3 linked regions of the Canis lupus familiaris genome follow. The protein of the gene in region 3 interacts with the protein of the main gene of each other region in a pairwise test. Links are inferred from orthologs where the notes say so. Each region holds a gene or a part of one and is shown on either strand. Other genes may lie near its edges.

Region 1 (3,581 bases), on a different chromosome or scaffold from region 3:
TGGGGCCATCCAGGAGTCCCAGTGCCTGCTGGGGACGGTAAGGTCGTGAGTGGGGCTGGGGGACACAGAGACAGAGCCTGGAGCTCTGCTGGGTGCATCCCTTGCCAGTGTGGGAGGCCGTGGAGGGGGGCTCGCAGGGCAGCCTGGGGACCTAGCCCAGAACGTCAGCCCCAACGTCCCTTTCTGGTCCTGAAATCCGGTCCTGGTTGACTGCTGGGATGTCTGGTTCCAAACTCAGAGTTCCACAGTTTTCCTCTCTGGTTTTAGTAAAAAGCCAGAAACAATAGGGCCATGTCCCTTGGGCCAACCTCCACGGGGACACAGAGGCCCAGGCAGTCGGGAAACGGGGCAGTGGGTGGCCGTGTCACGATGCTCCCTTCCCGTGGGCAGAGGGAGAAGTGGGGTGTGGAAGGGGCTTCCTTGGGACCCCAGCCCCAGCCTGTAGGGCTGCTGAGAACACTGGCATGTCACTGCTGGGACTGACTCTTCCCCCTCGCTGCTTTTCACCTCCGCACGGCTGCTCCCTGGATGGGACGTGCGGAGTGGAGGCCAACCCCACACATGCACCTGCGGGTCACTCGGACGTCCGGCATCTGCGTGACCCCACGCCTGTTCTCACCCCGCATGTCTCTGCCCTCCCCTCTGGGTCCTGCATGGCCTTCCCAGTTCTTCACCTGCCTCGTCATCCTGTTTGCCTGTGAAGTAGCTGCCGGCATCTGGGGCTTTGTCAACAAAGACCAGGTGAGCCCGGGATCACGGTGGTGGGGCCCATCCCAGCAGGGTCAGGAGGGAGGGGTGCCCGCCTGCTGCTCAGGTTGGGCCTACCCTGGGATCGCAGGGTGCTCTTTGGGGCTCCCCCTGGGGCCTGCCTGGTAGAAAGGCCACGGAGGGCTTTCTGGAGGAGGTGGCGCGGGGGCTGAGGAGAAGGCAGGGCCACCTGTCTCCCAGCCTCGAGTGGTGATGGGGGGCAATCCTGGTCTACCCTGGAAGCATTATCTTCTCAAGAGAGCCAGGTGAACCGCTTGCCCCCCTCTCTGGGGTGGTCCTTGCTGTGGGGTGACCTCGGCCCTCCCGCACACCCTCCCCCCAGATCGCCAAGGATGTGAAGCAATTCTACGACCAGGCTCTGCAGCAGGCCGTGGTGGACGACGAAGCCAACAATGCCAAGGCCGTGGTGAAGACCTTCCATGAGACGGTGCGGCAGGGGGTGCTGGGGGTGCAGGAGGGTTGTCCTCCGTGAGTGAGGCCTGGCTGGGGTTGAATCTGGTCTCCGTGGGGCACTGGAGACCTGGAAGCCCTTCTCCTGGAGGGCCGTGGAGCCCTATCTGGGACCCCCCCCCCCCCCCCGCCCAGGGGATTGTCTGGGACCTGCAGGTCCCCTGTGTGAGCCAGATGGGCAGTAGGAAGGCCTGGGTGTGGGGGTCTCTGAGCAGCACAGCCAAGGGTGGAGGGGATGAGGAGTCCTGGGCTGTTCTTCTTGAGGAGCAGACCCTCCCTGGCTGGGGACACCCCTGGGGCTTGGGCAGCCCACGGGGTGTATGTCCCTGGCCGTGTCCCTGTGGTCCTCTGTGCACACGGCCCGGGCTGACCGCAGGTGTCCTCCGTGCAGCTCAACTGCTGTGGCTCCAGCACGCTCTCCGCGCTCACCACCTCCATGCTCAAGAACAGCCTGTGTCCCTCTGGCAGCAACGTCATTAGCAACTTGTTCAAGGTACATGGAGCCCACTGGGCCGCCCAGGGTTGGCCCCACGTCGCGTCCAGCAGCCCAGCTGGGTTGGGCCCCTGGCTCTGCACACAGCACCTTCCGTTTCCACATCTGCTTTATTTATTTTAAACATTTTGAGAGAGAGAGTGAGCGAGAGGGAGAGGGAGAGAGAGAGAGAGAGAGAGAACACGAGCAGGAGGAGGGGCAGAGGGAGAAGCAGACTCCCTGCTAAGCAGGGAGCCCAACATGGGGATTGATCCCAGAACCCGGGACCTGCCCTGAACCCAAGACAGATGCTTCACCCGCTGAGCCTCCCAGGCGCCCCCTCCACATCTGCTTTAAAATGGACGTGAGATAACCTGGCAGAGACCAGGCCCTGGTGGCACGTCTTCAGGGAATCGAGCCCCTCCCTTCTCTTGCCACAATGACCCCGAGCCGCTGCACTGAGGGGCCCGAGGGCCTGCACTCCTGACCGTCGGCGGGCTGTCCCCCACAGGAGGACTGCCACCAGAAGATCGATGACCTCTTCTCGGGGAAGCTGTACCTCATTGGCATTGCAGCCATCGTGGTGGCCGTGATCATGGTGAGTACACGGGCCAGGCATCCGCGTGAGGCGGCCCCACAGTCTCCGGGTGCTGACAGTCCCACCCACCCGTCCCCACAGATCTTCGAGATGATCCTGAGCATGGTGCTCTGCTGCGGCATCCGGAACAGCTCCGTGTACTGAGCGGCCCCGGCTGCACCTGCTGCGGGGAGGGCCGCTGGGAACCCTGCAGGGCCCCTAGAGTGACCGGACATTCTGAGGAGGGGCCGTCAGCGCCTGTGTATATAACTTCTCTGGTATTACTCTGCTACACTTATTAGCCTTTTTACTTCTGAGGTTTTCTGTCCTGAAGTCCCCCGTTACCTTTTGGGGCTGAAGTCACCTAGAGACGGCGTGTGAGTGGGCCTTGGGGACCGTGAGGCAGGGGCCGCTCTGCTTCTGCAGCTGCTTGGGGGCTCCGCCTGCTTAGTCAGGCCTCTCCCGGGGGCCCGGGGGCCCCGGGGCCCACCCACCTGCCCACGGGCTGCACGGCTCATGCCTTTTAACCCTCGTTCCTGTCGCCACTTGTCCCGAGCCGGGTCTGCCAGCAGCCTTCACCTTCAGTGCACCTGTCCTCTCTAACTCGTCACCTTCAGCTGTAATTACATCTTCAAAGTCATTCAATAAAGAAGGAAAAACCGGGCATGCTAACAAACTGTCTGGCCCCTTCCTGTGGCTGCGGCGTCTGAGACCCAGGGCGCAGCTGGAGCGGCAGGTGGGCCGGCATGGGTGAGGCTTGGCTCAGCTCCGCGGACCTTGCAGGGTGTGAGGGGCCCCTTTGGTGGGCCCGGTGCCACCGTCAGCAGCTTCCACCCAGCTCACTCCCCTACCCACTCTGTGGACACCACTGCCCAGAGGGGGCACTCAGGTAATGTGGCGTAGAGCCTGCAAGACTCCCCTCCATCCTGGGGGCCCGCTCTGTAGAGGACAGGCACACTGACCCTCCCATGCTCCGAAGGGACTCTTCAGAGCTTCTAGGTGTTCCGTGGAGAAGCTGGGGAGCAAGGTCTCAGCCACTGTGTGCGGAGTCCACCCGACCCACCCCCGTCCTGGACCGGGGCCCAGCTGCCTCCTCCCACCCCCACCCCCTCGGGAGTGCTGGGTGATGTCACCATGAGCTGAGTGCAGGCACTGACCTGGTGTATGCTGAACTGGCCCCTTGAGGCCATGAGGGCCTGGCTGGGATTCATGTGGAGGGCTGACAGCTGCCTCCCTTGGCGCTTGTTTTGGAAACTGGCCCCAGCCCTACTTTTGGGGTCATCAGGTCTCAGTGAGGTCTGCCCCTCCTGCCAC
Region 2 (4,380 bases), on a different chromosome or scaffold from region 3:
ATTTCTTCCTACTGGACTGTTCTGCAACTTCACGGTGTCAGAGACTGCAGGGTACGGCTGATTTCCTTACCCACGAGAGGAACTGCTCAAAGTTCGTTCCTAGGGTACGTCCTGAACTCTCGCTTTGCTCACTTAGCTTTATACTTCTTAGCCGAGATAATCCAACTCCCTTCCGTTGCCGTCATCTGAAATGGCACATCCGCACGGGCCAGGGCTTCCCACTAAATCATCACACGCTAAGTCAGACGGCTTAACTTTTATCCCCTATTTACTCTGCGCTTTGCCTGAGTGTCAGTTTTACCAGTCTTTTAGCAAATACTTGAAGGTTCTGTCTCAGATTCCAGCCAGAATGTGGAAGAGGCAGAGCCTTGTACGAGGAATTAAGTAAAAGCCTTTAATTGAAGACTCCGCTCTACTGAGTGTATGACCCCAGACAGAAATCTTAAGCGGTTTGCCTTTCAGCTAAATTAGGAGACTGATGTATGCTTTAGAACATCAGGGAAGTCCAAAAAAAAAAAAAAAAAAAAGAATCGAACATAAAACTTTCTTTCGGCACCACTTAAAAATCAACAAATATTCGTTTGTTGGGTTCCACATGTACTTACCGCTTGCGAGGATTTGTGCTAGGTTCTTGGACTACGGGGGACGGACAAAGAAATTCCCATCCCTCCCAGGTCTGAAGACACGTTAAATCGTTTTCGCAAAACGCACGATCCTAACTTTACACGGTGCTGTGCAGACAGAGGTGGAGGGCGCTCCCGGGGCGTGAGGAGGGCTCCGCCCTCTGCTGGGGGGTCGGAAACGTGACATCCGAGCTTCGGAGCTGAGAACGAGGAGCTTGAACGACCGTGTGAAGGTCCCTCCAGCACGCAAGGGCTCCTCTTTTTTTTCTTTTTCTTTAAAGATTCATTTATTCATGAGACACACATGGGGGGGGGGCGGAGGGAGAGGCAGGCCCCACGCAGGGAGCCCGACGCGGGGTCGATCGCGGGCCCGGACCCCAGCCGGAGCCGAAGGCGGACGCTCCCCCGAGCCCCGGGGCCTCCCTCCGGCCGCTCCCTGCCGCCTGCTGCGTGCCGGCCCGGGGCGGGTGGCGGTCCAGGGGGCGCGCGTCCGGGAGAACAAGAGGCGCAGGGGCGCTCGCTGGAGCGTGGGGGCAGGCTCCCTACCTGCGCGCCCGCCGCTCGGCTGGCCCCGAGGCCGGAGCGAGGCCGGAGCGAGGCCGGGTGTCGCGGGGCGCCGTCGCCGTCGCCGGGGCTGCGGGCACAGGGACAGAAGCCCCGTCGGCGCGCGCACCCGGAGCCGGGGCTGTGGGGCCACCGCGGCCCGGCGGAAGCTGCCCCGCCCCGCCCCGCCCCGCCGGGCTTCCGGGCGGAAACGGAAGTTGCCGGCGGCGCGCGGCCCCCGGCCCAGGGCGGCGGGCCGAGCGGCTCTCGCGAGAAGGGCGGCGGCGCCGCCGGGAGGGACGCGCGAGGGGCGGGGCGGGCCGGGCCGGGCCTGGCCGGGCCGGGGCGCGTCGTCGGGCGGGTCTCGCGAGAAGGGCGGCGGCCGAGTGGCGGCGGCGGCGGGCGCATGGAGGGCGCGGCGGCGGGCGAGCGGGCGCCGCTGCTGGGCGCGCGGCGGGGGGCGTTCGCGGGCCGGCGGGCGGCGTGCGCGGCGGTGCTGCTGACGGAGCTGCTGGAGCGCGCCGCCTTCTACGGCGTCACGGCCAACCTGGTGCTGTTCCTGAACGGCGCGCCGTTCGGCTGGGAGGGCGCGCAGGCCAGCCAGGCGCTGCTGCTCTTCGTGGGCCTCGCCTACCTGGTGTCGCCGTTCGGGGGCTGGCTGGCCGACGCGCAGCTGGGCCGCGCGCGCGCCATCCTGCTCAGCCTGGCGCTCTACCTGCTGGGCATGCTGGCCTTGCCGCTGCTGGCCGCGCCCGCGCCCCGCGCCGCGCTCTGCGGGGCCCCGCGCCCCACGCGCCTCCGCAACTGCTCCGCGCCGCCCTGCCCCGACGCGCCCGCCCGCTACTGCGCCCCGGCCGCGCTCTCGGCGCTGGCGCTCGTCGGCCTCGGCGTGGGCGCCGTCAAGGCCAACGTCACGCCCTTCGGGGCGGACCAGGTGAGCGGGGGCGGGGGGGCGGGCGAGCGGCGAGCCCCGAGCACCACACCCCCGGCCCCACCGGGGCCCCCGGGGCGACCTCGGCCACGGGTGCAGAGCCGCGGGGCCGCCACGGACCGACGCTCCGGTTCCCCTTTTTTTTTCTTAAGATGTTACTTATTTACTCATGAGAGGCACAAAGAGAGGCAGAGACCCAGGCCTCTAGAGGGAGGAGCAGGCCCCCTGCGGGCAGCCCGCCGCGGGGCTCCAGCCCGGGACCCCAGCCCGGGACCCCGGGGTCACGGCCTGGGCGGGCGCCTCGCGGCTCCGGGCTCTGAAGAGGCCACGTGACGCTCAGGCCGCGGCGCGTCCCTGTCAAGTCAACGCGGAGGGTGCGCGCTTAGCCGCAGACGGCAACTATGCTGCAGGGAAACAGAAGTGGGAAAGGACCGGCGGGCCGAGGCCAGGTCCCGTGGGGCTTTTAAAAGACTCGTGGGTGTGCTTCGAGTACAGTAGGAAGCTGTTGCGGGTGTGCCGCGTCGAGCGGCGTCTTCGAGAAGCAGGTCCTCCGAGCGCAGGTGCGCCCAGCAGCTGTGTCCTGGCAGCCAAACCTGCCCACTTCCTGCTTCGGGGGGGCCTGCGAGCCAACAGCGAGAGTGGTTCTTAGGTTCTCAAGCGGTAGGGAAAAAGCAGAGTCTCCTGTGACAGGGGAAAAATTTATGAAACTCAGACGTTGGTCTCCCTAATTAAAGCTTCATCGGAACAGTCACGGCCCGCTGGGCCCGCACCAGCTGTGAGTGGCCGCTGTCACCTTGCAGTAGCACAACTGGGGACTTGTGACAAAGGCCAGATGTCTCTCAACTCAATACCTAAAACGTGTGCGCCCCGCCCGTTCACAGAAGAAGTTTGTGATGTGTGCAGACTAGGGAGGGAAGTGAGAACCTCAGGCGTACCAGAAGGCAGTCCATCATGCTGGCCGGGTTACAGAGAGGGATTTGGACGGAGGTGGGTCGAGTGGACACAGAGTGAAGAGCGTGGAGGTGGGGTCGGCAGCCGCAGGGAAGATGATCCCCAGGTGTTTGTGCTGAACTTGACGTGACGGCACATACGGCTTACTGTTCTCCAGGCCCTCTCTCCGTGCTTCATCAGTCGTCGTGACGCTGCTGCTGCTCTTGTGCCCATTTTATACATAAGGCTTGAGAGGTAAATCATTTGCCCAAAGTCACACAGCTAGTGCCTGACTGAGCCAGGATGCAGGTGCCTGTCCTTAGTCTGAGCTTTAAGTGGACCCTGTCCGGCTACCCTTTACAGTGAGGTGGCGCCTTGCTGAATCTCAATAATGTTGAGAGATCGCTGCCTCATGTTCCAAATTCTTCTCTGCGCCAGGAAATGAGCATGTGTTACACACATGACCTCGTTGACTCCCCCAAGGAGGCGGAGGTACAAAAGATGACTTCTTGTAGTGAGTGGGCAAGCCACGGTTGTAGTCCGGGTCTGATTTCCTGACCTCTGTTTTAACCATGGCTTCGAGATGTGCTTTCTGAGACCTACCTAGCACAGCTGGGTCATAGTCGGGTCTCAGAGCCCAGGCTCGTGGCTTCCGTCTTGGGTGTCATCAGTGAAGGCGCAGCATTGGCAGCGCAGTGAAGCCCCTTGAAAGACACGGCCCACATGCCATGTGAATGTTTGTCGTGTCCTCACTGTACTTGTTACTTTGCCTTCTCGTAGCCTCAGGACACTCTACAGACTGCATGTGTCTATCTTAACACAGGCTGAGGACGTTTGACCGGCCCAGAACCACAGCAGGGCAATAGGAGCTGTGTTTGGACCTGGGCAGGCCAACATGAAGTCAGTTGTCTCCAGTCCATGATGGATGAGCAATCAACATTTCATAAAGGAAGGAGTGGTCTTATAGAGGTTATCGAGAATGCATGACAGGATGTGTAATAACGTGTCGACGTTAAAAAAAAAAAAAAAGTGCTCTCTTCTGTGAGTTAACTGGGCTAATCTCTTCAAATATGACACTATCCTGAAAGAAATAGGGCCACTCTAGATTCAAGGATGTTAGACTTGAGAAACAAAGGCAATGTGTGTGTTCTGATTGGATCCCTGGTGTTTTGTTTTGTTTTTTTTTTAAAGCCATTTTGAGGGACAATTAGGGTAATTTGATGATAGACCACACATTAGATAAAATGGCATTGATGTTCAATTTCTTGGGTGGGATAATGGTTTGTGGTCATGTAGAAGAGTGGCTTTATTTTTAGATTCATATGGGGTGAAATGTTATCATGCTGCAATTTA
Region 3 (3,641 bases):
TCCCAGAGCCAGGGCCTAGCCAGAGGCAGGGAGTCAGGTAGGCTTAGTGTGAGGAAGTGCTCCGCCCTAAGTACTAGGACGGGAGTCAGATTCACGGTGTCCCCTCTGCTGTTTCGTAGCCAAAAGAGCCCAGAGTCAGATGCTCATTTTGTCACTCGCTCCTTCCTTCGGGTCATTTACAAAGCACGTAGGGAAGGCCTGTTGTTTGCCAGGCACTGGGCTGGGTCCAAGGGATCCCAGATGAGGAAGATGGGGTCCCGGCCCTTGAGGTGCTCCCAGCTGAGTGGGCAGGACACATGCCAGAAACCAGCATGACCTAGACAGTCCTGGAAGCCAGGAGGCCAGTGCTTAGGATGCCAGCTTTGAGGTCAGCCCAGATCTAGGTTTGGATCCTGGCTGAGACCCAAGGGAAATTCTGAAGTACTCTGCCCCTCAGTTTCTCCACCTTGCAGCGGGCAAGAATAACAGGAGCTGCTTCACAGGGTTGCCGAGAAAGTTAACTAAAATAATCTCCGGGGAGTGCTCGGCATGTAGTAAGTGGCCAATAAATGGTGGCTTTTATTTTAAAGATTGATTGATTGATTGATTGATTTGAGAGACACAGAGAGAGTGAGAGAGAGAGAGAGAGAGCACGAGCAGGGTGAGGGGCAGAAGGAGAAGCAGACTCCCCACTAAGCAGGGATCCTGACGCAGGGCTCCATCCCAGGACCCTGGGATCATGACCTGAGCTGAAGGCAGACGCTTAACCAACTGAGCCACCCAGGCGCCCCAATTGGTGGCTTTTAATATCAGTTGTCATGGGGGGGGGGCGAGGGTACATAACAGAGTCCCTTTTCCTGCCGGTGTCCATGAAACCACTTCAGTCCCCATGGTGGCTTCCCACAGATGTGCCTCAGTTTACCACTTTTCTCCCCACCTGCCACAGTTAAGGGCTGTGAGACAAGATTGGTCTCCGTGCTGCCACCTGAGCAGAAGCCCCCCTCAGCCTCGGGTGTCCCGTTGTCCCCCCCCCCACCCCTCCACCCCCATCAGCACACCCACCACCCGCGCTCAGCGGGGCAGTGAGGTGGCACGGGGCTGGGTGGCCCTAGGCGGTGTCTGCTGTCCTCCCTCCTGCACCCACGCCCAGGTCCGGTGACGTGGCCCAGGACCCCAGGGCCATCCCCGCAGGCAGGCTCGGGCCATCTCCGCTCCACGCTGCCCTGAAGTCAGGCTCCCCCTCCTCGTTCTCTCCCTCCCATCTCTCCGCTCTGCTCTCCCGCATTGCTCTCGCTCTCGTTCTCTTCCGTTAAATAATACCGTGATGGATTGTGAAAGGTACTTAGCTGAGTCACGGAGTTTAGAGATGGAAGCGACCAATTAGATCATCAACCTCATCTCTCTCCTGAGGAGAGGCAGAAAATAGGAGACAACGATAAACAATTTTATTGGGATATTAATTTAGGCGCCCGAAGGCCTTGACTCGTGTCTCTTAATATAATGCAGTGGATTTTTTTTTCCCCTTCCCTACTAATGTAATAACGGGGCCATTTTGTGGGCAGTTGGTTTGCATGATGGCTTTTGTTCCCCTCCTTTTCCCACGGAAGGTCCAGATGGAGTTTCGGAGGAGCTGGGAGCGCTGGCGGCTCGAGCACTTGCACGTGCAGAGAGACAGCAGCATGAGGCCCCTGAAGTGCCCCACCAGCAGCCTGAGCAGCGGGGGCACGGTGGGCAGCAGTGTGTACGCGGCCAGCTGCCAGGCCTCCTGCAGCTAAGACCCCAGCACCCCCTCCCTGTGGTCCCGCTGCGGGCCGGCTGGCTGTCCAAGGTGGGAGAGGCCCTGTGGGGCTGGGCGGGGAGGGACATGCTCACCTACATCCCTGCTTTCCCTTCCCAAACCCATCAGACAGGCAAATGGGCAGTGCCTCCTGGGACCCATGGCCACATTTCCTCTGAAGAGAAGCAGCTTGCTAATTTGATCACGGCGGCAGGAGAAGAGAAAAACCGATGGCTGCTATGACAAGGAGGATTTCTTGCCGTTAAGCCACCAGGCCCCTGGGGTTCCCCAAGACAGAGCAGCAAATCAGCCCCACATTCACACCAAGGTCAATGGCTTATTAGCGGGATGGCGGTTTGCAAGAGGAGGTGGTTCAGGAAGAGGCCTGTGTAGCCTCAGCCAAGCAGAGCTTAGGGAAGGTGAGCCAACTCTGCTTGCCTCCAGTAGGGTCACCACCCCTACTGCCTCCTCATTAAGGGACACTGTTCCTGTTTGTCACTTGTTCATCTTGCCCCCATATCTCACCACCCAGCTTCTCTGTGGGGGCTTTGTTTGGGCACCACCGCAGCTCTTTCTAGAAACGGCTGTGGATAGTGTTGAGAACGAATGCTGAGAATGTGCCCAACAGTTTCCTTTGCTGGTGTGCCCACTTCTCCCGTGGGTATTTGACCTGCCTCGGTATGCTGCCTGCCGCCACTCTGCCCGGGGAACCAGGGCAGGCCTAGTGCCGAGGAGCCCAGCTCTCCATGTGAGCTCTGAATTCTATTCTAGAGATGTTCTAGAGTCCTCTGGGATTCAACTCGGGAACTCTAGGAAATGCTCGCGCTGGGAGGTATAGTGTACCTGCAACCGTTGGGAACCCAGCAAGGCTGAAGCTTTATTTCCACCTCCCTGGGGAAAGGCTTTTTGTGACCAGATTATGTACCTTGCATGGGAGTTTGGGTGTGCCCTCTAAGAGCTGTGACCAAAAAGGGACCTCTGGGGGAAACTACCAGTTGCCCCTGTTACCTCGGAAGCTGTCTTCCCCTTGTCCCTGGTTTCTTTACCATGAAAGTCCGCAACTTGGGAGCCTGTATATACTTTATTCATTTTTCTTTATTGCTGTGAATGGTCTGCATGTGCAAATGTGTGACTCTGATTTCTCCCACCTGATGGAAAAAAAAGAACGAAACCATTGTGATTGTGATGTTGTTGAGGGGAGTGAGGTAGTAACTGAATTGACTCAGCCACATGTTGAGCCAATCGGTGTTTTCCCTGCCTCCAGTTTCATCCCATAAATAATGACCAGCAGAGAGGCTACACAGGGAAAACCTCTCAGTCCTGCCCCCACCACCAGGAGAGGGCAGACATGTAGCAACACTACAGAAACCCAGACAAAAGGGAAAGAGCCATCCCAGGGAGGCTGGCAGTGAAGTTTGTGGATGCAAAGGAAGTTTCCCAAGTAGGAGAGAACTCTTAGAGGAGTCCAGACCTCCTGGGAAGGCAGAGGGAGAGGCTTTGGGTGAATTTCTTTATGGATCCATCCCTCCCTCCTTCTTTTTAAGTGGTGGGGGACCCTCCCCAGAGCCTTGCACCAGACACATTTTCCTGTGCTTCTCAGAGAGGCATGTGATGTACGGGGAAAATAATAATGGGACATAAAACACATCAAGCAGAAAATTTCTTATACTTCAGCTTCAGTGAAGTGTTGTGTCTTTGTTAATGGGGAAGCTGAACCTCAGGCTAAAGGCGAAGTATGCAGAATGGCTCCTGGAGAAAATGTAGAGAGGTGGAGGATGGGGGCACCCCTGCTTCCCCAGAATAAGAGAGGATTTTCCAGCAGGCCCCACTCCTTGACTTTCTCTTTGGAGGGGAGAGCAGGAAGGGGGAAGATGAGTGCCAGTGA

Evidence for each region.
Region 1: the proteins of GLP1R (region 3) and CD81 interact in a protein complementation assay, tested with the Homo sapiens proteins (2 studies listed by BioGRID). The link is inferred for Canis lupus familiaris from reciprocal best matches to the Homo sapiens genes GLP1R and CD81.
Region 2: the proteins of GLP1R (region 3) and SLC15A4 interact in a protein complementation assay, tested with the Homo sapiens proteins (2 studies listed by BioGRID). The link is inferred for Canis lupus familiaris from reciprocal best matches to the Homo sapiens genes GLP1R and SLC15A4.

What each region holds. Positions count from the first base shown.
Region 1 is NC_049239.1:46,926,179-46,929,759, forward strand, and holds the end of CD81 (CD81 antigen), read left to right. Parts: coding exon 1-37; intron 38-666; coding exon 667-741; intron 742-1,090; coding exon 1,091-1,195; intron 1,196-1,609; coding exon 1,610-1,711; intron 1,712-2,201; coding exon 2,202-2,288; intron 2,289-2,369; coding exon 2,370-2,432; 3' UTR 2,433-2,943; downstream 2,944-3,581. UniProt on the Homo sapiens protein: Structural component of specialized membrane microdomains known as tetraspanin-enriched microdomains (TERMs), which act as platforms for receptor clustering and signaling.
Region 2 is NC_049247.1:2,994,597-2,998,976, forward strand, and holds the start of SLC15A4 (solute carrier family 15 member 4), read left to right. Parts: upstream 1-1,560; 5' UTR 1,561-1,572; coding exon 1,573-2,100; intron 2,101-2,333; exon of another isoform or gene 2,334-3,282; intron 3,283-3,850; exon of another isoform or gene 3,851-4,099; intron 4,100-4,380. UniProt on the Homo sapiens protein: Proton-coupled amino-acid transporter that mediates the transmembrane transport of L-histidine and some di- and tripeptides from inside the lysosome to the cytosol, and plays a key role in innate immune response.
Region 3 is NC_049233.1:8,211,472-8,215,112, forward strand, and holds part of GLP1R (glucagon-like peptide 1 receptor), read left to right. Parts: intron 1-1,586; coding exon 1,587-1,706; coding exon of another isoform or gene 1,707-1,754; exon of another isoform or gene 1,755-1,885; coding exon 1,886-1,999; 3' UTR 2,000-3,641.